Canis lupus familiaris: one gene and its partners. The protein of the gene in region 1 interacts with the protein of each later gene in a biochemical or structural test. Links are inferred from orthologs where the notes say so. Each region holds a gene or a part of one and is shown in the gene's direction. Other genes may lie near its edges.

Region 1 (4,030 bases):
GCACTCATTAAAATCAGTACCCTGAACTGACAGAGAACAGTCATCTTCCCTAGAGTACTTCTCTGGGGTAGTCAATTTTCATTTAAAATGTGAACTTGGGTGTTGAAAAGTAAGTTTTACAAGTTCTTAGGTTCAGGCAGAGATTTCACAACCACCTACCTCCAATGTGAACCCCAAGTGCTCTGTCACCTAGGAGCACAAAATTGTTAAGACCATGTGTTGGTACCACAAATGGTGCCAGATGACAGATGCTTCTCACTGTGTAAAAAAGGTACTAAACACTTACATGCATGTGATATACTAGCTCATTGTTTATCCTAATCTGGGTCTTTTTTTTTTTTTTTTTTGGTATATGGAACAGTTCAAGAATTTGTGCGTCATCTTTGCGCAGGGACCAACTTAATCTGTTTTGTTCCAATTTTAGCACATTGCTGTCCAAGCCAGCACCTAATCTGGCTCTTCTGACAGGTCTTTGTAGCGTTCATGGTAATCCATCCTTGTTCTACATTCCATTAAGAGCAGCCCTTATTAGGTGACTCTTATTGCCAGTTCTATTTTATTTTTTAAAGACTGAAAGAATGATGTTCAAGTGCAAACATCTCTCTTAAGGTTATTGTGGAGGGCAGTGAGAGAGAGAGAGAGAGAGAGAGAGTTTTTGATACTTAGTTATTTAAAGTATAATTTAGGTCTCCCCCCCCCCCAAAGACTTGTGAATTTTTGTGTTCTAAAAAACTAAAATTCTGTTGTGAAAATATTTAAAAATCTAAAAATGTAAAATTTTGTCTTTCATTTTTAAATACATGGAATTTTAAGTAAATGGAAACTTTAAAATTCTGAAAATAAAGTAAAAACAAAGCATATATGCGTGTGTGAAATGGATTCCTTTGGCCCAGCCGGAAAATCACCCACTTAGAAAAACACCATTTACGGTAGCTTTAAGTATTAGAAGTGAAAGTGATGGAATCTGAATGTCAAGGTAGCATCGCTTTTGTGATGAGAGAGCTGAGTGCAGTACGTTTTAATTGTGCCAATACTGAACAGGGAAGAACCCGACCCAGGGCCAACAGTAGATTTCCGACGACCAGAAGCAGTAGGACGACGCTCCCCAGCGATGAAAGAAAGCGCCTGCGCTGGGACTCAGTTGGCGCCCGCCCTCCTGCTTTTTCGCCAGCCGCCGTTTCCACCCTCTTTCGCGCTTCGGCCTCCCGGGAAGCCCAGCCCCGAGCGTCGCTGAGCTCCGATTGGCTCCTTTGAAAGTCTACGGGCTGCCTGATTGGCGGGCCCCCGGCCCTTTAGCGCGGTGAGTTTGAAACAGCTCGCGCTCCGCTTCAAAGCTGGCTCTGGGAAGTTGAGGCGAGAGCGACGCGGACGTGGAGGCGGCCGCTGCTTTCGCCGCGGGACAGTAAGGCGGGCGGCCTCGCTGAGGTCAGGGTCGTTCCTGCGGGGCGTCTGCGCCGCGGGGCCCGGCTCGGAGGCCGCGGCTGGTGGTGGGAGGCCGCGGGGGGCCGCGCGGGGCCGGGCCGGGCCGGGCCGGGCCTCCGGATCCTAGGCCGCGCCCTCGCTGGGGCCCCGGGGCCCGGCCCTCCGGGGAGGCTGGCGGGAGCCCCGACGCGGCGGGCGCGCTCCCGGGCGGGTGAGGCCGCCGGCCGGCTGAGGAGGCCGTCGGGGCGTGGCGCCGGCCGGACGACGCCGATTGCCGGGCTCCGGCCTGGGCCCCGCGCGCGCCGCCCTGCTCCCTGGCGTGGCCGGCCAGACCCCACCTGGGCCAGGTGCCCGCGTGGGAGCGCCGGCGGGCCCCGCTGGCCTGTGGGCCTCCCCGGGGTTCCCTGCGCCCGCGGCCCTGGCGCGCCCGGAGCTGTGGAGAGACCCGGCCAAGGACAGAACCAGAGGAGGAGGAAGCTCGGGGTGGCCCCTTGACTCTAAGCTGTTGTATGTGCTGTGCCATCGGCCCACAGGGAAGGCTCAGAAACGCCTCGAGAAAGCACATACGCGTGTGCTCAGTATTCCTGATCGGTCTTTGTTTAACACTAGAGCTCCCCATGTGCACGCCTGCTTGCTTGCTTCAAAGACCTGGAGGCCTCTGGGTAGGAGACGAAGCTGTGGTGTCGCGGTGCCGGGCCCCAGGGGCAGGGCCTCCAGAGGCTTTGTGAAGCCGCGTCCTCTCTGTGAGATTGTCACAGCAGCGACACGGAGAGCCGGCGAGGCCTAGGAAACCCAGCTTTGAAAGGCTTGCTCAGAGCGAGCTCGACAGTTGGATTGTTCGTCAGGCGTGTTAAATCTGGGCGTCGTAGAAGGGATGATTACCGTTCTGTAAAATTAAAAATGTCTAAGATGGGAACTCCTAGCCAGTGTAGTGCAACTTCGTTCATTTAAAAAGATTTTCTTGCTTCTACTTCTGGCATGATCCCGGAGACCAGTGCGAGCGTCGACTACCCAGTGACCTATGTACGTAATCTTATCAGGGATGAGTGTGTTAGAAAGTCAAGGTAATTCTACTCTGGGCTTCTGAAGTGAAGATTTCTTTGGCAAACTTCTCAGCTGAGGACGTCTTGAAGGTCTTGTCAGCCTCTCAACTGACGTTTAAGCAGTCTTGCTGATGGTGGTTGATTATTACGGCCACAGTAGCTCTATTTGTGTCATTAAAACTTTTTTCCTTTTGAATTTTCTTAGAAAAGGGGTACAAATTCAGTCAAATAACATTATTTGACTTACTTAACACAAATAACATTTGTGGAAATGGCTGGGTATAACTGGCAGAAATTGATGCTCCTTAGAAGTGTTACATAAAGAAACACACTTGTTTTTTTGTTTGGGAGGGATAGATAAGTTTGATACCTGAATTTGAGGGTTAATCTGATTGCAAGAAGCAAAGTACTACACTGGCTAAGATATACAAATCCAATGTTTTAAGAGCTAAAAAAGGTGGAAAAATCTTATTGCAAAGGTCCCTTCCCTTGTAAATGTTTTAACATAATTAGTATTTATGGGAAATTAATACTGCAGTAGACACTGGAAAATGCTTTATACTATCATTAAAAACTTAAAACCATCTTTTGAGTTAGTGGCATATGATCAAATTAATTTTTTCTCTCATTTTAGGATCCTACCGTATCTGTTGATTAACTATGGAAGATTATACCAAAATAGAGAAAATTGGAGAAGGTGAGTGGTTTTAATAATAAAAGAGTTAAAAAATGATTTGGTAATGCTCTAATATCTGGGACATGAAAACCTGTAAATATTTATTGAAATCCAATCTTTAAGGTGTCCTTCAGTGCTAATGTGCCTTGATTATATGTTCTTTACATGGTAACATATGCACAAAATGTTCAGATTTCAAGAAAATTGAAATTATTCTGATAGGATTCCCTGCCAACCCTCTCCCATCCCCCTAAAAATCTTATATTTTTTAAGTACTAAACACTTAAAGCAATATTTGTATTTTGAAAACACTATTGAGATCTTGTGTTATGTTTTGGTGGGGAGAGGTTAGGGAAGTAGAATTTTTTTTTTTTTTTTTTAAGATTTTTATTTATTTACTTGAGAGAGCACAAGCAGGGGGAGCTTCAGAGGGAGAGGGAAAAACTGGCTCCTTGCTGAATGAACAGGGAGTCCATGCGGGTCTGTATCCCAGAACTCTGGGATCAGGACCTGAGCTGAAGGCAGACGCTTAATCGACTGAGCCACCCAGATACGCCTAGGGCAGTAGAATTCTATTAAGTTTAATAGTGTACTTTTAATCATGTACAATTCTTTTTAAGTGCTTTTACCCAAACTTTCTAAACTAGTATAATAGACTATTAAACCAATTTATTTATTTATTTATTTATTTTTTAATTTTTATTTATTTATGATAGTCACACAGAGAGAGAGAGAGAGAGAGAGAGGCAGAGACATAGGCAGAGGGAGAAGCAGGCTCTATGCACCAGGAGCCCGATGTGGGATTCGATCCCTGGTCTCCAGGATCGCGCCCTGGGCCAAAGGCAGGCGCTAAACCGCTGCGCCACCCAGGGATCCCTATTAAACCAAT
Region 2 (4,194 bases), on another chromosome or scaffold:
AAGCAAAACCCCTGAGTCAGGGGAAAAGCCAATTCAGAGGTCAAAAAACGGAAAGTGGAATTGGTTAGGGTTAGGCCAACATTCTCTTTCTTTAGGGAAGGGGGATTGACTAAATTTTTCTCCAAAAGCCTGTCACCTGAGTCTTAAGACCAACAGCCGCACTATTCGCCTTTAACTGCCTGACAGGTGCCCGGTTCTGCTGTTTGTTACAAAAGGTTACCCGAAGGAGAGACATCTTCCAGAAAATAAAGGATAGAGTCCACATTTACTCACCCTTTGATGGGAGGTCCCAGGTTTTGGCACCAAAATGATACGGGAGAGCTTGGTTCTTATGGAGTTGAACGAATCTCCAGGACAACAGAGGGAGCAAAGCCATAGAGGTTTATTAAGCAAGATAGAAAACTCTCAAAAGTGAGAGGGGTCCTGACAGGGTTGCCACTAAGGGCTTTTATGTTTTGTTTTGTTTTTGTTTTTTTAAGATTTTATTTATTCACAAGAGACACACAGAGAAAGGCAGAGACATAAGAAGAGGGAGCAGAAGCAGGCTCCATGCGGGGAGCCCCATGCGGAACTCGATCCTGGGACTCCGGGATCACACCTTGAGCCAAAGGCAGAGGTGCAACCACTAAGCCACGCGGGTGTCCCTATGGTCTGTCTTTTATAGGGAACTGACCAGGAACTTGGTAAATTTCTTATCCATATCAGGGTGGACTTGTATATATCATGTCTTTATTTAGAACAAACATGGTGGACTTGTAACAACAAGATGTTTCTTTGTAAACATCATAAGCACAAACAAGTGTTCCCTTCTCTCTGGTTAAGAGCTCCTCCATATTTCTCTACATCTGGGGTTTCTGTGAGCCTAGTAGCCATTAAAGGGGAACACCCCCTAACATTTTGGAACTAGGGAGCCAGGATTTTTTGGTTTTTTTACGGTCTTACCTGTTTCCTTCGGATGGGTAGGAGCCTCTGGGGCCTTTTGGTGTCCTTGGGGTTTATGGGAACCCACAGATTCCTGGAAGCCTGACTCTAGACCTTTCCCTTATCTTTTCCTACCTAGCCCTGTCTGCTCCTAACTTGTTCCTACATCAATATCATGCAATTGTGAATCACTGAATACAAAGTTTTATATAAACATTTAGGGATGGAGCATATGTTCAGGGAAAAAAGGATACCCTGTTGGGACCCCTCTCTCTCACTTTTGAGAGTTTTCTCTGAAGTGCTATTATCTGCTTAATAAACCTCTATCGTTTTGATGTCCATTTTGAATTTTAAAGTTTTCACCGAAAGAACTATGGCAAGCATATCTTCTTTTGTGTACCAATCATGTGACCTGGGCAAGTCCCTCAAGACTTCCAGAGACGGATCTCTTCCTACGTAAGAATGGCGATACTACAGAACGCGGCTGCTGTGGAGAGTAAACGGGATGGAGGTCTAGAAAGGTGCCCGGCCCGGGAGAGGGGAGCAGGGTGCGGCGTTCCTTCCCCTGCCCTCGAGCGCACGGCTTCCCGCACCTGGGGAGAGCTCCCAAATACCAGCTCCAGGCTGGCCACCTAACTGGGCGTGGGAAGCGACCTAAGCGCCAGGCTTTCCCGCAACGCCAGCTCCTGCCGCAGGGCGGCCGCTGTCCCCACCCCTTCCCGGCGGCCTCAGGGGGCTGCGCGAACTTCGAAACCTAACTGCGCCGGACGGGGTGGGGTGGGCATTGGGCAGGATCCCCGGCGGGGCGGGGCGGGGCGGGGCGGGGCGTCCCTCCGGGCCGGCTCCACCCGGCGCATGCGCAGACAGCGACCTCCGCCGTCAGCGGGAGAGCCATCGCTTCCCACGCCCACCGCGGGAACCGCAGCTCAGAGTCCCCGCGCGTCAGGACGCAGCGCGCGCCGGCGGCCGCCAGGGGGCGGGGCTTGGCGAGGAGCGACGGGTCTTGGCGCCAATCGCTGGGCTGCTCCCGCCTTCGGGCTCGATTTGAAATTCCGCGGAGGGCTAACGGCTCGGAGCCCCGGCTTGGAGCGGGACTGTGGTGCGTGTGCGAGGTTGCTGCGCTCAGCTCCGCGTGGAGGAGGTCTGGGGCCTCGACGGTCGGCTGCTGGGAGCGTCCGCCATGAGGAGGAGGTGCGGGTTGCAGGAGGGTCGAGGGAGCGACGCCTGGCCCGGGAGCGGGGGGCCCCGAGGCGGCCCCGGGGCGCGGGGGCGTACGTGAACGGGCGTCGAGTGCAGCCGGGGCGCGGCCGGCGGGGCTGGGTGGCGCTGAGCTGGCGCAGGTGCGAGGGGCCCCGACGCGGCAGGGCAAGGCCTGCAGTGCCCCGGGCCCGGCGGGGGCCCCCCACACCCCGACGCCCGGGAGGCCCCGACGCTCCAAGTGTCCGCGAGCCCCGCCCGCCCGCCCGCCTGCCTCCCTCTCAGATGCTGCCTCTCGGCTCGGCACCGGCGCAGCCGCTCTTGGTGGGCCGCTCCCTCGCCTCTCTTTAAATAACGCCGTCAGGTCGTTGATCCGCGTGTCCTCCGCGGGGTGGGCTGCCGCGCCAACGTCCCCGACTTGGACAGGGAGCCGGGTTCCCTTGGGAGTCCAGAAACTCCACTGAGGAGTCACTCGCCACGCCGAATGTCCGCTGTCTCTTCACCGGTCTCTGCTCCGTTTTTCCCTCCGTAGCACTTACTGCCCTTTACTGGAAGGTTTGCTTATTTGTCACTTTTTTTGTTGTTATTAGTGTGCAAACTCCAAAAGGACAGAGATGTCACTTTTCTAAAATAATAATACCAAGGGTATAGGGCTTTTGTGTGGAGAGTGGTGAAGACGTTAGCCCTACTTTCTGAAAGCGGTGGGTGAGGCACTGAGATGATTCATTACTGGTTGGTAGTTACTGGTCAGGCTGATCATTCTGTGGCTGTAGAAGCTGCTGCTGCTTCCCTAATTTCGAATTCTCATCGTTCTTTTTCAGGTGGCTTGCCTTCCAGAGAATGGAAAATGAGTACAAATCATGGTACCATTGTAAAAACAGCCAGGGTTTTTTGTTTTGTTTTTAAAGGTTTTATTAATTTATTCATGAGAGACGCAGAGAGAGGGACAGAGACAGGCCGAGGGAGAAGCAGGCTCCATGCAGGGAGCTCCATGCGGGACTCGATCCCGGATCTCCAGGATCACGACCTGAGCCAAAGGCAGATGCTCAACCACTGAGCCACTCAGGTGGCCCAACAGCCAGGGTTTTAAAATTAATGTCAGTAACTGCTGTAATTTATTTATTTTTAAAATTTTGTTTATTCATGAAAGACACAGAGAGGCAGAGACACAGGCAGAAGGAGAAGCAGGCTCCACGTAGGGAACCCCACGCGGGATTCGTTCGGGGTCCCCAGGATCACACCCTGGGCTGAAGGCAGCGCTAAACCGCTGAGCCACCAGGGCTGCCTAGTAGCTGCTGTTATTTCTATTAAAAAAAAAAAAAAAAAAAAGCACATAATCTGCAGTTTGTTTTGGTTTGTGACTTAATTGAAAAACTTAGATATGTTTACTAATTAAGTTAGCTAAATTAGGAGCACCTGTGGTACCTGGGTCCTGGGATCAAGGGATACAACAGACTCCTTGCAGGAAGCCTGCTTCTCCCTCTGCCAATCTCTTGTTTCTCCTCTCTCTCACTCTCTCTCTCCCTCTCTGTGTCTCTTATGAATAAATTAAAATACAAACTTAAAAAAAATTAGCCAAATTACTTTTTACAGAATTAAATGACATGAGATTTGTAGATCTCGGGTCCAATTAAAACCAAAAACCAGGGATCCCTGGGTGGCGCAGCGGTTTGGCGCCTGCCTTTGGCCCAGGGCGCGATCCTGGAGACCCGGGATCGAGTCCCACGTCGGGCTCCCGGTGCATGGAGCCTGCTTCTCCCTCTGCCTGTGTCTCTGCCTCTCTCTCTCTCTCTGTGACTATCATGAATAAATAAATAAAATCTTTAAAAAAAAAAAAAAAAAAAAAAAAAACCAAAAACCAATTATCTGTACAGCAAATGGACCACTAACCTCCAGTGGATAGGTGGGCCACTAACTAAAAGCACTCTGCAGATAGTTGTTAAAATGAAAAGGTTAACCACCCCTTGGATTCTGTTACTTGAACAAATCTTAATGGGCCAGTTGGAAGATGGGTGTTTGGAATTAATAAATCTTCTAGTTCTCCAGTAGTTTTCAGAGAATTAAAAGACGTTTCAC
Region 3 (3,540 bases), on another chromosome or scaffold:
TTTGAGTGTTGGGGCCCCTGGGTGGCTCAGTTGGCTTAAAAAAATTGAATAATAGCAAAGATTTATTTTTTTTTAAGATTTTATTTATTTATGAGAAAGAGAGAGAGGAGGGGGGCAAAGACACAGGCAGAAGGAGAAGCAGGGTCCCTCCAAGGAGCCCGATGTGGGACTTGATCCCCACCCAGGCATTCCAAAGAACATATTTAGATTTTCACTGTCGTTCTTAACTATATATGGTGAGAATGAATACGTTTTGTTACTTTAGATTTTCCAGAATACACTTCCTATTACAAATTTTATTTTGCTATCTATCTAGTTCCTAAGGGTAAGACAGTTTCACTATTGTTCCCTTGGCACTGCTAAGCAAGTGATTCTCAACTGCTATCTTAAGACAGGTCATCTCATTCTTATGTTTCAAATGATCTCAAATGATGTTAAATTTTTTTTTTCAAAATTAATATTTATTTTAGAGTGAAATGTTGAATGGGATAAATCAGATCAGTAGTGTTGATATCACAGGTAAAGGTTAGAAGCTGTTGATAAACATTTCCCCTTTGACATATAGTTTTAGCTATCACAGAAACAGGACCGCTTCCGTAGTGCAATCCAAGGGAGTTGATGGCCTGATTCAGATAGATACATAGTGAGGGTATATTTTACAGCAGAGATTTAACCAGCAAAAGGCAGAGAATCTGGTCCTGTTCTTTTATGAATAAGCCTAAACATCTAATAAGTGAAAATCTCCCATTTATTTGTTCCATTAATGCTTACTGACCTCCTTCCACTTGGTAAATTTTTTGGTAATAGAAAGATTAATTTTGTTTTTGTGTCTTCAGGATTTATAGTCCAGGGGAGGAAGGCTATAAACAGTAACAACTTTAATATGAAGTAGAAAATAGGAATGCCACTAGGAATTTATCCCATATTTTGTAGGAGTTAGCTTACAGTAAGAATACAGTGTTTCTTCATCTCGGGGGGGATGACCAAAGGCTTGTGAGAGGTAGTGGCCTTTGAGCTAGATCCTGAAGACTGGGTGGGATTTGATAATAGGACAATATGAGAATTAACCCTGGAAAGATAGGGTGAGGTCAGATGGTATCAGGTTTGTTACTTAGAAGTTTAAAAGCAATTCATAATTTTTAAGTTGAGTGTGTGAGTGGAAATTTGTTTTAGATACCATTAAACTCAAAAAGATATGTATGTGAAGAAAGAAGTTGAAGTCAGAAAAATACTTCAGAAGCTGTTAAGTGGTTTGTGCTAGACCTAGTGAATGGCTACATTAGCATGATTTAGTTGGGACTGGAAAGGACAAGTTGGAGAGGAAGAGTACTTTGAGTGCATGGTTCCTGAATACCTTCTTTGCTAGATATTCTCAGTTGCCTATTCATGTTTAGGTTTTCATAAAATCGGGACCCTCTTTAGAGTCCACCATGTTATTTTCAAAATTGTAAGAATGACAGAATTTCTCAGGTCCCTTGCTTGTGCATTATGGATTATGAATTCTCTTGGTGAACTTTCATAGCTTCGAGGTTTATGATTATTATTCTCTAGGGCTGTGGCAGAGATTCTCAGGAGCAGCATGCCTTGAAGCACTATATGACACCAAGATCTGAACCTCATTGTCTGGTTCTCAGTTTGGACAACTGGAGTGTATGGTAAGTTTAATAACTCTTATGCCTGTCAGTTGACTGGTAAGTATTTGAAATATTGGAGAATGGAGGGGTTTAAGGAGGAAGAAGGTTTACATTTTTGTAGGATTTGTTTAAATACATCACTTTCAGAAGGCTAGAGAATTTGAGAACCTTTCAACTTAGTATTATTGTATGCACATAGAAAGTGTAGCATCTAGAAGACAGATGAGTCTTCACCCTTCTGTTTTTCTTGCTTTTGATATAAATGGCATGCGGTGCATTATAAATGGCATGTGGTGGGTTATTTTAAATGGCATGTGGTGGGTTATTTAAAAATTGGGACACTGAGAACCAATTTCAGATGAACTGAGAATATAGTAAGATTTTTGCAGTGAATTTGCATGAGAATAAATGTCAGGCTGGTACATATATTTCTTATAACATCATCAAAACACATTTTCATATCTTTAAAAAATATCTACAGAGCAGCATTCAGTGAACATCATCTGTCTATTGTAAAACGTCTTAATTTTGACGATATAGGCCTGTACTTTGAAATATGTGTAGGAAAGACTTCGACTTTCAGATTGTAAATAGCCATTTCAGTAAAGTATTTGGGGTTTTTATATGTATTTATTTATATGTAACCACAGTTCTGACTAAATTTACTATAATAGTAAACCAGAGTTAACATGGATAGTCTGTCTTCTTCAAGAAAACACAGATTTTTATTTTCAGTTTCTTTAACAGAATAATTTGGTGGCTATTCACTTTGGGTTCCAGGAATTATAATTCATCTCCTCTTTTGGTTGTCAGTTTGTCACTTTTCTTCTCTGTGGTCTTTTGGGAAACAGGTGTTACCTATGTGATGATGAGGTCCAGTATTGTAGTTCAAACAGATTGGGTCAGGTGGTTGATTATGTTAGAAAACAAGCTGGCATTACAACTCCAAAATCAGGTAAAATCATTTGTTTATGTATTCTGTAATATTAATTTATGTATCTATTTAGATAAATTTACTTACCGCTGAGCATTATATATAACTGAATAACATTAATTATAGTTGATTTCAAACTATGAAACTATTTTTGGTTAGGAATATAAAAACAATGGAACTATAGATTGTTATAATATGATATAGAAGGGAATCTGAGAAACAGTCTAGTCAAATGTGATGATGAGTCTGGAGTAAGTAATGACCAGGATGCCCTTTCTGTAGGGGGTTTGAGATGGTCCTGCCTTGTACTGAATTTGTTTTGTTACATTTGTGTTTGGATGATGTAAAAGTGAAGGCTAGCTATTTCTCAGCTTTTTTTCATGCATAATTAAGTTAATTGGATTGGCATACATCATCTGCTTTAAGCTTGTTTTGATTTTTACGGTCACAGAAGTATCTGCACAGCTGGAATTGTTTGTTTTTAACTTCAGGATTCATTTTTCACCCATTCATTTAAAAATTTATTTCAGGTCCACATTCTTTACTTGATTACTTTATACTCTAATTTCATAAAGTAGGATGTGCTCATTTGTAAAACAAATGAACAAACAAAAAACTTTTATGCAATAAAAAAGGTTTATACCAAACACACACGGTTTGGTTTCATTTGTCAAACTAATGCTTACATCACTTTTGAGTGTTTTTATTGGTTTTTCTCTTGTGATGATAATTATATCTGTTAGAAAACATTTAAAATGAAATAGCTGGGGATAATGATGTTAGATAAAAATTCACAAAGTCTAATACTCTGTCCCAACTATAACTTTGCATTTGTTATAGTTGTATTACACATTTTGCTAAGTCTTTGTTTTCTTCCCTTTTTTAAAGCAGCAAAAGATGGTAATGTTGAACTTGAAAATAAAAAATTAGAAAAGGAGAGCAAAAATGAACAAGAGCGAGAGAAAAAGGAAA
Region 4 (4,091 bases), on another chromosome or scaffold:
AATCATACATATAATATATAATATTATGTTAATATATTAAATTTACTATTAACATAATATTATATTAATATATGATAATATATTACAATATTATAATACTAAATATACATATATAAAAGAAACACGGTGTCCTTAGGGTTTTAGACTCAACAGTTCGTAGGTGACCCGGGGTCTGACTCTCAGCATGGAACCCCAGTTCGCATGAGTGATGTTCGCATCCTACCACTGCACAGTTGCATCCTATAACTAACTATATAACTGCGTCCTGCTAAATAAATTCGGCCCAATCTTGACTTCCTCGACAGACGAGAGCCAAAGGGGGAGGAGACTGTGCCCTAAAACCCGACACGTCCCCGATTCCTCCCGGTGCGACAAGGTTTTCCTCCAAGATCACCTAATGATCATCGAAAAGGGTTTTCGTTTTCCAGAAGCATTAGCAGGAGGCGAGGGAACCACAGCGGTCCTTGAGCAAGGATTCTCTTTCATCTTCCCTGCACGCCGACACGCGCGCTGCCAGGGTCCGGGCTCGGCGTCTGCCCCGGGCCCAGGTGCGGGGCGCCCCTGCAGCCCGGGTCTCTAACCCGGTGCGCCGCCCCCGCCCCCGCCCCCGGCCCCACCCCGGCCCCGGCCCCGGCCCCGCGCTCCCCGCCCGGCCCGGCCCGGCGCGCGGGGAAAAGAGCGCGGCAGTTGCAACCGTTACCACCCCCGAGTTTTGAACTGGTTCAAACTTGGCTTTCGGCCCCGCCCCGCCTCTCGGGCCCGGGAACTCCGAGGCGGCGGTTCCCGCCAAGCGCCGCGAGCGCGCCGTCCCGCCCTCCGGCCGGTTCCCGCCACCCCGCCCTCCCCGCCCGGGCCCGGCGCTGCGCAGGCCCCCGCGTCCCCGCCCGCCCGCCCGCCCGCCTTCCCGCCTTCCCGCCTTCCCGCGAGGCGCCGTGCGTTCCGCCAAAGAACAAAGAAACGGCGCGGCGCTTCCACTCGGCGGCCGCGTCCCTCAGCGCCCGCCCGCGCCCGCGCCCGCGCCCGCGCGCACGCGCCGCCCGCCCGGCCCGGCCGAGTCCCGCGGGCGCCTCTGCGTGGGGCTGGCGCGGCGCCTCCGAGCCCGGCGGGCCCTGTGATTGGACGGGAGCCCGCCGCGGCCCGCCAATCGGGGCGGCGCTTAGTTGGACAGGGGGGGCCAAATAAAAGCGCTGGCGATTGGGCTGCCGGGTTTGGCGCTCGGTCCGGGAGCGCCCGACACCCGCTGGGACGCAGAAGGCGGTGGGGCCCCGGCGGCGGCGGCGGCGGCGGCGGGAGCGGCGGGAGCGGGAGCGGGAGCGGGAGCGGCGCGGGCTGGGCGCGGGGCGCAGGTAACGCGCCGCTGTCGGGCCGGCCGGCGGCGGGGCCCTGGAGCCCGGCGGGGGGCGGCGGCGGCGCCGGGACATCCCCAACGCCGCGCTGCCCGTGCGGGTGTCGCCCCGAGCGGGGTGTCGCGGGCGCCGGCGCGGCGGGCGGGGGGCGCGGGGATGCCGCGGGGCGGGGGCGGGAGCGGGGGCGGGGCGGGGGCCGGGCGGGGGCCGCGGGCGCCCGAGGCGGGGGGCGGGGGCGGGGGGGGCGTGCGGAGGGGTCGTCCGCGGGCGCCGGGCTGGCTGGGCTGGGGGCGCCCGCCGTCCGCCGTCCGGGCGCGCGGGCTCCTTTGTGTGGAGCGCCGCGGCGGGGCGCCCGGGCGGGACGGGGCGCGGGGCGCACACAAGTTGGTGGGACCGCGCCGCCGGGCGCGCACGCAGACAAAGGGCGGCCGGCGTCTCGGGGCAGCCCCGCGGGCCTGACAGCGGGCGGGGGCGGCGCGGGGAGCCCGGCGGCGGGCGCTCGGCCCCTCGCCTCTCGCCCCGCGCCCCCTCCCGCGCCCCGCGCCCCCTCCCCGCGCCCCGCGCCCCGCGCCCCCTCCCCGCGCGCGGGCCCGGCGAGCGGAGCCGGGGCTGGGGCGGCCGCGCGGACGAGGCGGTGCCGGGCCGCCCTTCTCCTAAGTTTGCGGGCAGGGCAGGGCCGGGCAGGGCCGGGCAGGGCCGGGCCGTCCGCCCCGTCTCGGCTTCCTGGGCCTGCGGGGTCCCCTCTCGCCCTCCCTCCCCTCCCCCGTCTCCTCGTCCCCACGGAGTCCGTGCCGCGGGGTCCCTTTCGGGAAACGGGACGAGCCGAGGAGCGTGCTCTTTTCGGAAAACTTGGGTGAACTCGGCGCGTCTCGGGGAGTTCCCACTTTGCAAAGAATCGCCGTCCCCAAGAGAGAAAAGCAGCCGCGGGCCGCCCTGGCCAACCGGTGGGGTGCGTCGGAGGGGGCGGCAGGTGCCGAGGAAACCCGCTGCCCCGCAGGCGGCCGGCCCCAGGCCCCGCGGCGGGACGGCGGCGAGCACCCTGCGGGCGGGCGGAGGGGCGGGCGGGCGCGGGACCGACGCGCGTCTGGAGGCTGACGAGCTCCTTCCCACGGACGGGTCTTAACTTCCCCCGAACAATAGGTTTGGGGAGGCAGGAAAGCCTGGACGCAGACAGCGTGTGTCGCCTAAGAAACCCAACGTGTGCTGCCCGCAGTCAAGCTAAACTTCCTTTGTTTGCAGCACAGGACCCGTAAAACTTAAAAGATCCGTGTGGAAATAACAACCCGGCTCTGGAATTGAAAAGTATTCCACACGGTTTGCTTTCTTGGTTCCGGAGCTCAGCGGTTGCATTCTTTGGCGTTTGAAAATTACCTAAAGCAACCTTTGGGGAAGAAGAAGAAAAAAAAAATCTTAAAAAAAAAAAAAAGTCCAGTGCTCGTACGGTTGAATTATGATCTGTACTTCTCTGGGGCTTTGGAGGTGGTTTTTCATCACTCTTCTTTCCGTGAGCATTAGCAACTCTTTTTCATATTTAGGAATAAAGTGGACAGGTGTTCAGAGCCTGACCACTTTATTGATGATCTTATATGCAGGAAGACGAAAATGGTTGAGATGTATCTTGATGTTCTTTTCGTAGGGTCTAAGTTGGGGCTAGATGGGATTCTAGTCCTATGTGTAAAGATTCCTGTATGTGTTTTTGTAGACCGATCAGGATACGGGATGTTTAAACTCTTGGAAACTTAGGAAAATTGCATCTTCCTTTCTGATTTTTGTGGAAACCGAACATATTCAAAGAAAAGGAATTTAGAGACCCACAGGCACTCTTCTTTATTTGCGTTCTGATAAAGAGCTAATGTGCACCTACTGTCTTCTGGTTGCATAAAAATGGAGACAAAAGAAACGCAGTGTGAAAGTCTTTATTACGAATATTTTGCAGAGACTGTTGGACACCGTTGAACGGACGTCCCAGGTGCTGCCTCAGGGTTGAGATGCTTAAATGATGTTTAGATTTAGTTGCTGATAATTATCTATTAAAAAGTCCTGATAGTTCTTGCCCACTGTTAGGAGATGAGTTATGCAGATCTTGGCAGAAATTTGGATCTTTTAGGATAAATTCTAGTTTTTCCCTTGTGTATTCTGTAATTGATAATTACTGTCCTTATACGTGCCACAAAAATTTTTTAAAAAGCCTTTTTGGGGCTTTGGCTTAGATTTTTTTTTTTTTTCTGGTTGAATTGTGAGTATATACAAGTCACTTTTAAGTAGCAGTGATTAAAAAAAAACACTTGTTGATTTAGGGCAAAATAAAAGTTCTGAGACATTTATGATAGACATAAAGAGAGAGAGACAGAGACAGAGAGGCAGAGACACAGGAGGAGGGAGAAGCAGGCTCCATGCTGGGAGCCTGACGACAGACTGGATCTGGGGACTCCAGGACCGAGCCCTGGGCCAAAGGCAGGCGCTAAACCGCTGAGCCACCCAGGGATCCCCAGTTCTGAGACTTTTATGCCAGCTTTGGCTATTTAAAAATTTTAAGCAGATTTCTCCAAGTCCTAGTGACGTTTTTCTAGATTATCTGCCATCCCTTGAGCTGGCATGCTCAAGGAGTGTGAATTTCTGTATTGGCCTAAATAGTGATTAAGAAAGTTGATCTGCTTCTTAGAAACTGACAAATGAAGTTCTTCTAGCGTCTAATGTATTCTAAGGTCAATTAGAAATGATACACGGATTTGCCTTGGATTCTTT
Region 5 (3,831 bases), on another chromosome or scaffold:
AGTAATCTTACACCCCACATGGGGCTCAAACCTACAATCTCGAGATCAAGAGTTGCATGCTTGGGATGCCTAGGTGGCTCAACAGTTTAGCATCTGCCTTCAGCTCCGCATAATCTCCAGATCTGGGAATCAAGTCCTGCATCGGGCTCCCTACAAGGGGCCTGCTTCTTCCTCTGCCTGTGTCTCTGCATCTATCTCTGTGTCTCTCATGAATAAATAAAATATATATTTTTAAAAAGAAAAAGTGTTGCATGATCTGACTGAGCCAGCCAGGTGCCCCTTCAAAAGTCTTAATGGAGGGGGGCACCTTGGTGGCTTAGTGGTTGAGCATCTGCCTTTGGCTCAGGTTATGATCCCGGAGTCCGCTGGAGTCCGGGGGATCAAATCCCGCATCAGGCTCCCCACAGGGAGCCTCTTCTCCTCTGCCTATGTCTCTGCCTGTCTCTCAGAATAAATAAAAATCTTTTTATTTTTTTTAAATGTTTTATTTATTATTTAATTTTTATTTATTTGTGATAGTCACACAGAGAGAGAGAGAGGCAGAGACACAGGCAGAGGGAAAAGCAGGCTCCATGCACCGGGAACCCGACGTGGGATTCGATCCCAGGTCCCCAGGATCGCGCCCTGGGCCAAAGGCAGGCGCCAAACTGCTGCGCCACCCAGGGATCCCAATAAAAATCTTTTTAAAAAAGAATCTTAGTGGATATTTTCAAATGGTCTGGTAGCTTCCATGCCTAAAGTTCTACATTTGTTTTTGCAGAACGAGCAAGCATTTGAGGAAGTTTTCCAGAATGCCAACTTCCGATCTTTCACATTCAGGATCAGGGTGAAACTAGAGACCTACAACGTAAGTGGGGTCTGCTGGGTTGCAGAAGGGTTAGCAGTGGGAAGCTACTATTTGTCACTCACAGCAACAGTACAGTGTTAGCTGTCACTTAATTGCTTACAGTGTGCTTACCGCCCTGCATTTATTACTCATTGAATCTTCCCAGCACTGAGGAAACGAACCTAGAGAGGTCAAGTATTTTGTTTAGTGTCAAGCATCTAGAGGGAAATGCTGCATGGTTCTTCGGTTACAACCTGGGGGTTTTGTTGGTGTAGTGACAAAGAATGGTCAGATGTTTGGTGGACTCCTGTGAGGTTTAGGCCCTAGGGTTCATATACAAAACAAAGACCGAACAAAGTTAAAATAACCTTAAAACTTATTCAAGTTGCCTATAGCATCATATAATTGTATAGTCCTACAGTAACTGCATTTATTGAGCACTTACTGTCTGCCAGTTACTATTCTATGCCCTTTACATCTACTATCTCACTTGATCCTGGCAGTAACCCATATGGAGGAATGACTGTTAGCCCCATTTTACCACTGAAAACATGGAGGCATGTAGAGAATAAGTACTTTGCATATGCCAGCAAATGGCAGAACTAAGATTCCAGCCCCCAGCTTCAGAGATTTGCTCTTTTCCATTCTTAGAAATGGCACTTTGTCGTAATTACTGAGCACATATACATGACAGTGCGTGAACCCCTGAATTAGACTGTGCACTTTTTCTGGGCATCACCTCATCCTGCCTCTAAAATAAAGGCACTGTTCAGTCCTGATGAATGAGCAAAGAGGGAGAGTTCTGAAAACCTCTCTGCTTGTTTTAGGGTCTCCTCATTCTGTTTTATCATTACACTTTAACCTTAGTTCCTGCCAGGTTTGTTTGTTTCTGTAGACCTTGAATGAGGTAGTGTCAAGTCAAGTGTCTGTGCTAGAGTGTCATGTTGAGGTGGGAGCAGGGGACAGCTCGAAAGGTCATGCAGTCCTCTCATGATGTGGACAGGGAAGGTGAGGTGCAGAGGTGGTCTCCCACAGAGCTGGGATGGCACCCAGACCAAGTCTTCCTCCTCTACTTTTGTTTTCAGAATTAGCTGTGTGGCTTTTAGGCAAGTCACTTATCTTCTCTGGGCTCCTATTTCCCCCCTCTGCAAAGAAAATAAACCTGCTAAGGCCCATCCCATTTGGATTTGAGGTTTCTGAGACCTGGGAGCATGAGGGAAGGACAAAAAGGGGACTCTGCTGAATGAAGAGAGGCTTCTGTCCTCTCTCCCAGCTCCAGAAGTTCTGAACTTGGCTTTCACTCATGATTTTTTTCTGTATTGGAATTACTAAACACTAAATCCAGCATGTCTTTGTGTTTTCTCTCGCTGAGATCATTGAAACCTCTAAAGCAAAGGGGGTTAGCACCACTGCTCCATGCCACAGGCTTTCCTCCATTCACAAACTGCTTTTCTCTTCTCAAAGGATGAGTCTCGAATTAAGGCCACTGTGATGGACGTGAAGCCCGTGGACTACAGAGAATATGGTAGAAGGCTGATCATGAACATCAGGAGAAACGCACTAATGTGAGAAGACCAGAGCTGATGGGGCAGAAGTTTGAAAAAACAGAGCTGAAATGAAACCGATTCTTTCCCACTCCTGTGGGACATTTCCACGTTAGCTACACAGTGGAGCAGAGGGCCTCTCCACAGGGGACAAAGCGCTTTCCTCCCATCAGTGCAGCTTGGAGCCCACTGGTACCTGTTGACACAGGCAAAGAGAAATGTGCTCAGGCGACTGTCGGGTAAACTGTCAGACCTGGCAGGTCAGCTGGTGGATAGTGTAGTGCCATTCTCTCCCTCTGTCTTCAGGCTTTTGTCAGTTTTACTAAGATTTCATTATCTTCAATCAGAAATTATGTCACAAGTAATTGACCCTAACTTTGCAGACGGTGAAATAAATTATGTAACTAGCTTCTCCAGTGATGACACCCTTGAGACCTGGGTTCCTTCTCAGGAGGGAGAGCCCAAAATTGGTCGTGCAGAACCTGTACTTCAGTAAGTGTGTCTTTCTAGAATTCAAAGTTTCGCTCTTTCTAGAGGTGCCACATAGTTGTAAATACTTGGATGGCAATAGGGTAGAATTATTAATCAAAAAACTTATCTTTTATATCTGAAGAATATCCCTCCTTCAGGGTTTAATAGACTAAGTCAGATGGGTCTGATATTAATCAAAATTGTCTCGTCTGAGGAAGGCTGATAAGCATTGACTTGCTGTCCCACAGGGACATCCGGGCAACTACAAAGCATTGTTTTAGTTTTCGTTTCAATTAATGTTGCATTTTGGCTGGTGAATGCACATTTTTTTCTACCTGTACATATTTCTTGCATTTATATGTTTCATTTCTTGATTGAAGCTATGTTAAATAGAAGGGATTTTGAAGGAAGGAGCCCTTTGTTTCCTCTGCTTTGTTTAAATAAACAGAATGTTCTCTGTGTGTGAATCCTACTTTCTACTTTCTTTGAATGCAAAGGGTTCTTGTAACTGGGAAGCAATTAATTAGCCTTCATAATAAATGTTCACTTGGGGGAGATGTTAACTCATTACAGACTCAAAGATTAGTCCAAGTCATAGAGATCATTCATCCTAATGTTTGCAACCCTCAAATGCATCTTTAAAAGAACAAAAACACTAAAAACAAAAAGCCATTGTGACCAAGAATGCTGATGATCTGGCACTTTGGGATTTTATTGATGTTTACACAGCAGTCTAACACCAACCAGGCTTTGAAATGTGTACAGACAGTGAGCTAGTAAGAAAACAGTAATTATGCTACTAGGCTTTTAAGTCAGCAAGAGCATGCTTGCCCTGTGTGTTCCTAATCATATTAATTATCTTTCTGGTTGCTGCGACCCACCACTTGGCATTTGCTGCACATCTCTCCCCAAGCATCCAGGCAATGTTGCAGTCAGCCTGCAGTGGGAGGACCTGGTTTTTAATCCATGCAAGTATGGCATATGGTGGCC
Region 6 (4,163 bases), on another chromosome or scaffold:
GTGTCACAGACAAGGGGTCCCCGGAACTCTGGGGTCCCCTCTGCTGGCCTCTGGCCCCTAAAGTCCCTCGGAGCCGCCTCAAGATTCCCTTCAGAGGGTGACGCCCCTTGTCCCGCATCTATACCTGCCCAGCAGCCTGGCAAAGATGTATACATTTTAACAAAGACATCCCATCCTCCCAGCAAAATGGCGGTGGTCCCGGCCACGGCTCTCTGAGCAACTGCACACTTTCAGAGGATTAGTCAGGACCCCAGGAGCGAGACCCCCCCCCCCAGCGCCGTTTCCCCAAGTTCCCAAAGCACCAGGGCCTCTTTTCATCCCAAGGGCCCCCAGGACAAGTCTGGTTGGAGCCTTTGGGACAGCTCCTGCATTGCAGCCCGCCCCCCCCCACTGCCTTCAAGGGACCTTGGGAGGGGGACTTGCCCCCCAGGCCGTGCCTCGGGGGTGGGGGCAGCAAGGTTCTGCCTCGGAGACCCCGAAACTCCTAGGCTGAAAGAGGCATATAAATGCATTCCCGATTAGGATATGCGGGCGATGTGGGGCTCTTTGAGAGGAGAGGACTCCGGAGACCCGCCCTCACTCCCTGGGGGGTCCCAGGCAGTGCCGGGGGTTCGGCCCCGGGAGAGAACCCCCACGCAGGGGTCGGGGGGCAGGCTGGGGGAGAGCCTGCCGAGGAGGGGGAAGGGACGAAGTTTGAAAGTGCCCTTCCAACTCTTCCAGGGAAAGTTTGCTCAGGGGCCCCAAGGACAGAGAAGAGGCAGGGGTGCGAGGGGCCCGGTGGTGGGGTGAGCCCCCCGAGAGGTGACCGGACCCCGGGGGAGCGACCCCTCCCCCCTGTCCCGGCTCGGCCCGGCTGGGAGTCGCCCAGCTCGGGGCAGCGTGTGTTAGTTGGGGCCGCTTTCCAGCCGCTCCGCCGGGCTGGGGGGTCCCGCCGCGGGCCGGAAGCGGGGTCCCCGGTAGCCCCAGGGGGGAGCTTTGCTACGAGGGGTTTCCCGCACCGGGGCTCCCCGGCCCCGCAGAGCCAGCCCCCCGCAAAGGGGAAATGTGCAGGCGCACCAGCGGTCCTCGGCGCCGTTTGGGGCGCGTGGCGGGCGCGGGGGGCGGCGGCCGGGCCGGCGGGATGCCCGGCGGGGGAGCCCAGGGAGCCAGGCAGCGGTCCCGCGCGGCGGCGGGGAGCGGGAGGGCCCGGGCCGGGGGGAAAGGTCGGATTTGCTGGGCGGAAGAAACACAGATGGCGGCGGCGCGGCGCCATTCCGGGCCGGGAGCAGGCAGCCAGCAGCCCTGTCCTCACCGCGGTCCGCCCGCCGCCGCTAAATACCCGGATGCGCCGCCCGAGCGCCAGACGCGGAGCTGGGAATAGGGAGGCAGAGGAGGCGGAGGCGGAGGCAGAGGCAGAGGCAGAGCCCGATCCCGAGCCCGATCCCGAGCCCGAGTCCGAGCCCGAGCCGGAGCCCGAGCCCGAGCCCGAGCCCGAGCCCGAGCCCGAGCCGGGCGCCGAGACCGACCGACAGAGCGGCGGGGCTGGGCCGCACAGACCCGGCCCGGCGAGTCCTCCCGCGAGTCCTCCCGCGCCCCGAGGCAGGTCCCCGAGAGCCGGGCCCGGACCGGCCCGGGAGTCAGGAGGAGCGCCAGAGCAGATCCCGAGTAAGGCTTTCCTCGGCCTCCGACGAGGGCTGGCCCTTTGGAAGGCGCCTCCTTCGACAGCAGGACCAGACAGGCCACCATGACCGAGAACTCTACGTCCACGCCTGCGGCCAAGCCCAAGCGGGCCAAGGCCTCCAAGAAGTCCACAGACCACCCCAAGTATTCAGACATGATCGTGGCTGCCATCCAGGCAGAGAAGAACCGTGCTGGCTCCTCGCGCCAGTCCATCCAGAAGTACATCAAGAGCCACTACAAGGTGGGTGAGAACGCCGACTCGCAGATCAAGTTGTCCATCAAGCGCCTGGTCACCACTGGGGTCCTCAAGCAGACCAAAGGGGTGGGTGCCTCGGGGTCCTTCCGGCTGGCCAAAAGCGACGAGCCCAAGAGGTCAGTGGCCTTCAAGAAGACGAAGAAAGAAGTCAAGAAGGTGGCCACGCCAAAGAAGGCAGCCAAGCCCAAGAAGGCTGCCTCCAAAGCCCCAAGCAAGAAGCCCAAAGCCACCCCAGTCAAGAAGGCCAAGAAGAAGCCAGCTGCCACGCCCAAGAAAACCAAAAAACCCAAAACTGTCAAGGCCAAGCCGGTCAAGGCATCCAAGCCTAAGAAGGCCAAACCAGTGAAGCCCAAAGCCAAGTCCAGTGCCAAGAGGACCGGCAAGAAGAAGTGACAATGAGGCTTTTCTTGTGGACACTCCTGCCTGTCTCCTATTTTCTGTAAATACTTTTTCTCATTTCTTCTCTCTTGATCTTCATTTGCCCCTTTGTATTCTGACTTCCTAAGAGACAGAATCTGGATTCCTCAGAAATTAGGGAATAATTCATTTCTCCTTAACCAATCATGCAAGGACAGCAGCCACAACTCTCATCCCTAAGGATGAGAATGTACTTCTATTTTGTTTTGTTGACTTGTTATTAATCTACTTAATGGGTTTAGGGACTTGGGTGGGCTTGTGTTTTGTTTGGTTGATTTGTTCACTATGAAGGTAAAGGGGCGGGAGAGAATGGGCAAGGCCGCTTGTTGGGACGAGATGAGGGGGACCCCGGAAATGGTAAGGTTTGCAGGAGTACTTTAAGGTCAGCCAGCCTAATCTAGGTGGCACACCCCTGAGAGTTCCAGAACCTTGGTGGGGAGAGGGGAGGAGTGGTAGCAGCTGGATGGCAAAGGAGGGAAGTGGGGGGGGAAAAAAAAAAAAAACCCTGGGGGGGGGGGCGGCTGACTTCCACCTTCCAATAGTGAGCAGTGGGGGGTCCAAATCCAGTTTCCTTCTCACTGTGAGTGTGCCCCTGTGGCCTCCCTATTGTCCTGGGGAAGAGAAGGAGGGGATCGAAGTGACAGCTGGTCCCAGAAGCTGTGGCTTCTCTCAGTAAGCTGGAAACTAGCCATTGGGGGGTCTTTGTGGCTTCAGAAAGTCTCCTGTTAAACTGGAGTGGAAATTTTGGGGGAAGGGTGGGGACTCAGCCAAGTGCCTCAGTGTGCCCTGTTAAAACTTGGGTTTTTCCACACAATTGGATTGTATCCTAGGAGGACTTTTTCCTTTTCCCCTGGTTTTTTGGTTCCTCCTGTAGAAGAAAGAGGTGATTTTGCTTGGTGGCCTGGTGGGGCACCAGACCTGCCACCTGCCACTTAAAAACCTCCCAACCTCTTTACTTTTGCGTCTTTTATAAAAGTAGTTGTAGATGAGGGAGGGGGGAGTGGGCGGGAAGTGGACGGTAAGACATACTACAGTTGATTTTGAATTGCTAAGTAGTTTCACAGAGCTAGGTCTGTGTGTCTGTGTGTATATGTATATATACCTATCTAGGGCTAGTACTTTCGTCTCACACCCGGGAGCTGGGAGAAAAAAACCTGTACAGTCGTCTTTTATTTTTAATAATATAGGAAAATGCGCACTTGCGCGTGGTCCGCCCCCCACCCCCCTTTTTTTTAAACAAGTGTTATTTGTGCCGGGAAGAATTTGCTGTCTTTGTAATTTTAAAACTTTAAAATAAAATAGAAAAAAAAAGCGAAACCCTGAGCGGTGCCTTTTTTCCTCACTTTTATGGCCGGAGGCGAATGCGGAGCAATCGGGCCGGCGAGCTAGGGTGGAATCCGGGCGGCGTGTGCACCTGAGAGTGGAGCCGGCTCCAAGAGTGGGACGGGCACCAGGAAACGGCGCTGAAGGGTGCAGAGCGTGCCTCAGCCTGCTTCTAGGGTCTCGCCTTGGGGTCCCGGCTGCACCTCCTTAGCCCGCGAGCGCCGGGTGCGTAGGCTGGGGCTGGGAAGAGGGCGGGGGGCTGGTGGGCGGGGCCGCCTCCCCTTCCCCCACGGGGAGTCGCCGCGCGCCCATCAATCCCCTTTCGGACTCCGCCCCCGCGCCCCGATTGGCTGCCGCGGCCCGGCCTCCGGGCCCTGACCGAGCGGCGGCGGCGGCAAGGCCGCGGGCAGTGCGGGCGCGCTCGGGCGGAGCGGGCACCATGTGGGCCGGACGCGTGCTCCGCGCTGCTCCCTCCGCGGCCCCCCGCGGCCGCCGCGCGCTGTCGGCG
Region 7 (3,384 bases), on another chromosome or scaffold:
GCGTCTGCCTTTGGCTCAGGTCATGATCCTAGGGTCCTGGGATCAAGTCCTACATCTGGCTCCCTGCTTCTCCCTCTGCCTGAGTCTCTGCCCCTCTTTGTGTCTCTCATGAATGAATAAATAAAATCTTAAGAGAAAAAAGAAAGGAAGAAAGAAGAAAAGGAAAAGAAGGGAGGGAGGGAGGAAGGAAATGCTTGTATTAAGACAAACTTTGTGAAAAATACAAGAAGCCTCACAGACTTCACAAGTCATCCGGAGAGCAATTATCTCTTCATACATCAAACATCAGAATTGATTAAGGAATAGAAAAACAGGAAATAGTAAATATCCAGTAGAGAAAAAATTTAAAACTTGAATTTGGGGTATTAAGAATCAGCATCAACTAAAGATCTATGTCTTTGTTTTATTTATTTATTTAGAGGGTACGAGCAGGGGTAGGGGAAAGGTTGAGGGAGAGAGAGAATTTCAAGCATATTCCATGCTGAGCGTAGAGCCCAGCATGGGACTCAGTCACATGACCCCAAGATCATGACCTGAGCCTATATCAAGAATCAGATGCTTAACTGACTGAGCCACCCAGGCACCCCTAAAGATTGATATTTTGGTACTAAAGAGAAGCCTGCCCTCCCTCCTTCCCTCTCTCCCTCCACCCCCAACATGGGGCTTGAACTCATGACAGCAGGATTAAGAGTTGCTTGCTCTATTGACTGAGCCCACCAGGTGCCCCAAGAGAAGTGTTTGTTTTTAAATAGAAATTTGGGTTAGTTTTGAGTGGGTCAGGTAATAAATGTTAACATTTTGGGGTTCTTTAATTCTTGTCTCTAGAATGCATTATGAATAGTTGTGTTCTTATTTTCAGAGGCTCTGGGGATCCCGGCAAAAAGAAACAGCACATTTGCCACATCCAAGGGTGTGGCAAAGTATATGGCAAGACCTCACACCTACGGGCACACTTGCGTTGGCATACAGGCGAGAGGCCATTCATGTGTACCTGGTCATACTGTGGGAAACGCTTTACACGTTCGGATGAACTACAAAGACACAAACGCACACATACAGGTGAGAAGGAGCCCCGGGAGGAAAGAAATAGTAATAGCATAAAAAGACACAAAATATATCTATGAAATAATTAAATTTCTGAGTAATTAAGTTTGAAAGTGAATATATGGAACATAAATGATTCGAATTGGAGTTTATCTGGAAAACCTTTCAGAAGGAAGGAGCTAGGTGTTCAGTGGGATTTTAAAGGAGGACCATGGCCCCATTATTCTTCTCGGTCCTACCTTACTTTTCTACTGTAGTCCTTCCTTTCTAGTACTCTTTGACCTTTACCTATTTTTCTGCCCCCACTCTCTCAAAAAGAAAAAGATACCAGATTTTTCTTGTTTTTATTACCTTCTAAGACTAATATTCTGTCCCATATAGTTTGAAAGCAGTAAATTGGACAAGGTAACCCTACTTCGTAAGATGTTCATTTCTTGTCTTCTTTCTCTTTTACCAAGGTGAGAAGAAATTTGCCTGCCCTGAGTGTCCCAAGCGCTTCATGAGGAGTGACCACCTGTCAAAGCATATCAAGACCCACCAGAATAAGAAGGGAGGCCCAGGTGTATCCCTGAGTGTGGGCACTTTGCCCCTGGACAGTGGGGCAGGTTCAGAAGGCAGCGGCACTGCTACCCCTTCAGCCCTTATTACCACCAATATGGTAGCCATGGAGGCCATCTGTCCAGAGGGTATTGCCCGTCTTGCCAACAGTGGCATCAACGTCATGCAGGTGGCAGATCTGCAGTCCATTAATATCAGTGGCAATGGCTTCTGAGATCAGGCACCCGGGGCCAGAGACATATGGGCCATACCCATCAACCCTGGGATACAAGGTAGCATGGGTCCAAGAGACATGTGGGAGAGAGAGCCATGAGGCATTAAAATGCATGGTGGTGGGAAGAATTGGGGGAGGGATACAAGAGATGGGGTCCTGGCATCCATCTATTATCATCAGTACCTCCTGAAGTGAGAAACGTTATTGAAAATTCTGTTGGTGCCACCCTTTATGAGCATTTGTTTGACCCCACACAGTTTCTTACACTTCTTTCCCCAGCTTTCCCTTCTTGCATTTCCCTTCTCAGCTCCCCCATGATGGATCCCCCCTTTCCTAAAGCCATCATGCCTTGATAAATATATATGATCATTGAAATACTTTTTAACAAAAAAAAAACCAGATTCTATATTATATATATATATATATATATATATATAAAAGATATATAGAGATGCATTTGCAGGGGTTGGCTGGGAGGAGGAAGGAGACCATTCTGTGACCAAAAATACCTTGGTCATTTTTTTATATTGCCTTATTTCCCTATGGCTGAGCCTTGTTGTGACACATCAAGCTTTTCTATAGATGTTGTCTTGGCTTCCCACCAGATTAAGCGTTCATATGCTCTGCTTTTAGTTTATATATACATACATAATGTTTTTTCTTAATTTTGTCTTTTTATTTGGGATCAGCTTCTTGTACTCTTTTCTTGACTCAACCTTTCTGTCTCCCTTTCTCTCACCTGATCACTTCATGTTTTGGTTTTGATAATGATCCCTGGATGAGGCACTTCTGTCAATCTTTTAAGGTCCTTGGTCCTAGCAGCAGAGTGGAGAGAGCCTTGAAGCCCAGGCTGATGCTTGAGTTAGCTGTGGAGAGAGTGTTCAAAATACTACTGACGCAGGCACCCTCTTGGCGCTGGAGAGTCCAAGGCACCTCTCCTCATTAGCTGCTCTAAGCATCAAGAGTCAGACGTCTTTCTATGGAATTGTACAAAAGACCCTTTAAAGGTTATATAATCTGGGATCAGTTTGTATAAATTGTCAAAAATGGTCAAGTAAAAGCTAGGGGCTTTCAATAGGAAAATGATGTGCTCAGAAGTGGAAGTGACTCAGAGTAGTCCAGTTCAGGAGTTAGTAGAGTATTTGGACATTTGTACAGCTGTCTTCCAAAGTAGCTCTGAGCTTTGGTGTATGGGTTTCTGAGGTCATATTCTGAAAGGAAATGCACTTCCTCTTTTGAACATCCCCAGTAGTTTCTTTCTCATGTTATTAAGGAACATCAGCCAATGAATCTGTTCGGGTTTCCATTCCGCAGAACTCCAGAGCATGTACTAGTGGCAAGGCAGAGGTTCTTTGACCTTTTCCCTTAACTCTTCCTTGGGTGGTTCCTGAGGGAAAAGGAAGCACACGATCATGGGAGTGATAGCCCAGAACAAAAAGAAATCTTGTCTTACCACTGTGGTTTATAAGAGAGATCGGGAGACACCATCCTGCTTTCTCCATGGCCTGATTCCTGAAGAGACTGATCCAAAAATTATAGCGGCAGGGAACTCTTAGTGCATTTGGCAC

Evidence for each region.
Region 2: of the proteins of CDK1 (region 1) and PRC1, one has a biochemical effect on the other in vitro, tested with the Homo sapiens proteins (2 studies listed by BioGRID). The link is inferred for Canis lupus familiaris from reciprocal best matches to the Homo sapiens genes CDK1 and PRC1.
Region 3: of the proteins of CDK1 (region 1) and USP16, one has a biochemical effect on the other in vitro, tested with the Homo sapiens proteins (3 studies listed by BioGRID). The link is inferred for Canis lupus familiaris from reciprocal best matches to the Homo sapiens genes CDK1 and USP16.
Region 4: of the proteins of CDK1 (region 1) and EZH2, one has a biochemical effect on the other in vitro, tested with the Homo sapiens proteins (5 studies listed by BioGRID). The link is inferred for Canis lupus familiaris from reciprocal best matches to the Homo sapiens genes CDK1 and EZH2.
Region 5: of the proteins of CDK1 (region 1) and RPA1, one has a biochemical effect on the other in vitro, tested with the Homo sapiens proteins (2 studies listed by BioGRID). The link is inferred for Canis lupus familiaris from reciprocal best matches to the Homo sapiens genes CDK1 and RPA1.
Region 6: of the proteins of CDK1 (region 1) and H1-0, one has a biochemical effect on the other in vitro, tested with the Homo sapiens proteins (3 studies listed by BioGRID). The link is inferred for Canis lupus familiaris from reciprocal best matches to the Homo sapiens genes CDK1 and H1-0.
Region 7: of the proteins of CDK1 (region 1) and SP1, one has a biochemical effect on the other in vitro, tested with the Homo sapiens proteins (2 studies listed by BioGRID). The link is inferred for Canis lupus familiaris from reciprocal best matches to the Homo sapiens genes CDK1 and SP1.

The regions. Positions count from the first base shown.
Region 1 is NC_049225.1:13,554,681-13,558,710, forward strand, and holds the start of CDK1 (cyclin-dependent kinase 1), read left to right. Parts: upstream 1-1,215; 5' UTR 1,216-1,300; exon of another isoform or gene 1,301-1,425; intron 1,426-1,802; exon of another isoform or gene 1,803-2,445; intron 2,446-3,099; 5' UTR 3,100-3,125; coding exon 3,126-3,162; intron 3,163-4,030. UniProt on the Homo sapiens protein: Plays a key role in the control of the eukaryotic cell cycle by modulating the centrosome cycle as well as mitotic onset; promotes G2-M transition via association with multiple interphase cyclins.
Region 2 is NC_049224.1:53,738,561-53,742,754, forward strand, and holds the start of PRC1 (protein regulator of cytokinesis 1), read left to right. Parts: upstream 1-1,371; 5' UTR 1,372-1,383; coding exon 1,384-1,442; exon of another isoform or gene 1,443-1,710; intron 1,711-1,974; exon of another isoform or gene 1,975-2,101; coding exon of another isoform or gene 2,102-2,112; intron 2,113-2,943; exon of another isoform or gene 2,944-2,958; coding exon of another isoform or gene 2,959-2,981; intron 2,982-4,194. UniProt on the Homo sapiens protein: Key regulator of cytokinesis that cross-links antiparrallel microtubules at an average distance of 35 nM. Essential for controlling the spatiotemporal formation of the midzone and successful cytokinesis.
Region 3 is NC_049252.1:24,578,244-24,581,783, forward strand, and holds part of USP16 (ubiquitin carboxyl-terminal hydrolase 16), read left to right. Parts: intron 1-1,551; coding exon 1,552-1,655; intron 1,656-2,485; coding exon 2,486-2,589; intron 2,590-3,456; coding exon 3,457-3,540. UniProt on the Homo sapiens protein: Specifically deubiquitinates 'Lys-120' of histone H2A (H2AK119Ub), a specific tag for epigenetic transcriptional repression, thereby acting as a coactivator.
Region 4 is NC_049237.1:1,579,873-1,583,963, forward strand, and holds the start of EZH2 (histone-lysine N-methyltransferase EZH2), read left to right. Parts: upstream 1-1,291; 5' UTR 1,292-1,346; intron 1,347-4,091. UniProt on the Homo sapiens protein: Polycomb group (PcG) protein. Catalytic subunit of the PRC2/EED-EZH2 complex, which methylates 'Lys-9' (H3K9me) and 'Lys-27' (H3K27me) of histone H3, leading to transcriptional repression of the affected target gene.
Region 5 is NC_049230.1:45,977,591-45,981,421, forward strand, and holds the end of RPA1 (replication protein A 70 kDa DNA-binding subunit), read left to right. Parts: intron 1-760; coding exon 761-847; intron 848-2,290; coding exon 2,291-2,395; 3' UTR 2,396-3,308; downstream 3,309-3,831. UniProt on the Homo sapiens protein: As part of the heterotrimeric replication protein A complex (RPA/RP-A), binds and stabilizes single-stranded DNA intermediates that form during DNA replication or upon DNA stress.
Region 6 is NC_049231.1:27,827,433-27,831,595, reverse strand, and holds H1-0 (histone H1.0), read left to right. Parts: upstream 1-1,439; 5' UTR 1,440-1,723; coding exon 1,724-2,308; 3' UTR 2,309-3,649; downstream 3,650-4,163. Other genes in the region: GCAT (2-amino-3-ketobutyrate coenzyme A ligase, mitochondrial), read left to right, coding at 4,095-4,163. UniProt on the Homo sapiens protein: Histones H1 are necessary for the condensation of nucleosome chains into higher-order structures. The histones H1.0 are found in cells that are in terminal stages of differentiation or that have low rates of cell division.
Region 7 is NC_049248.1:44,843,648-44,847,031, forward strand, and holds part of SP1 (transcription factor Sp1), read left to right. Parts: intron 1-859; coding exon 860-1,059; intron 1,060-1,502; coding exon 1,503-1,816; 3' UTR 1,817-3,384. UniProt on the Homo sapiens protein: Transcription factor that can activate or repress transcription in response to physiological and pathological stimuli.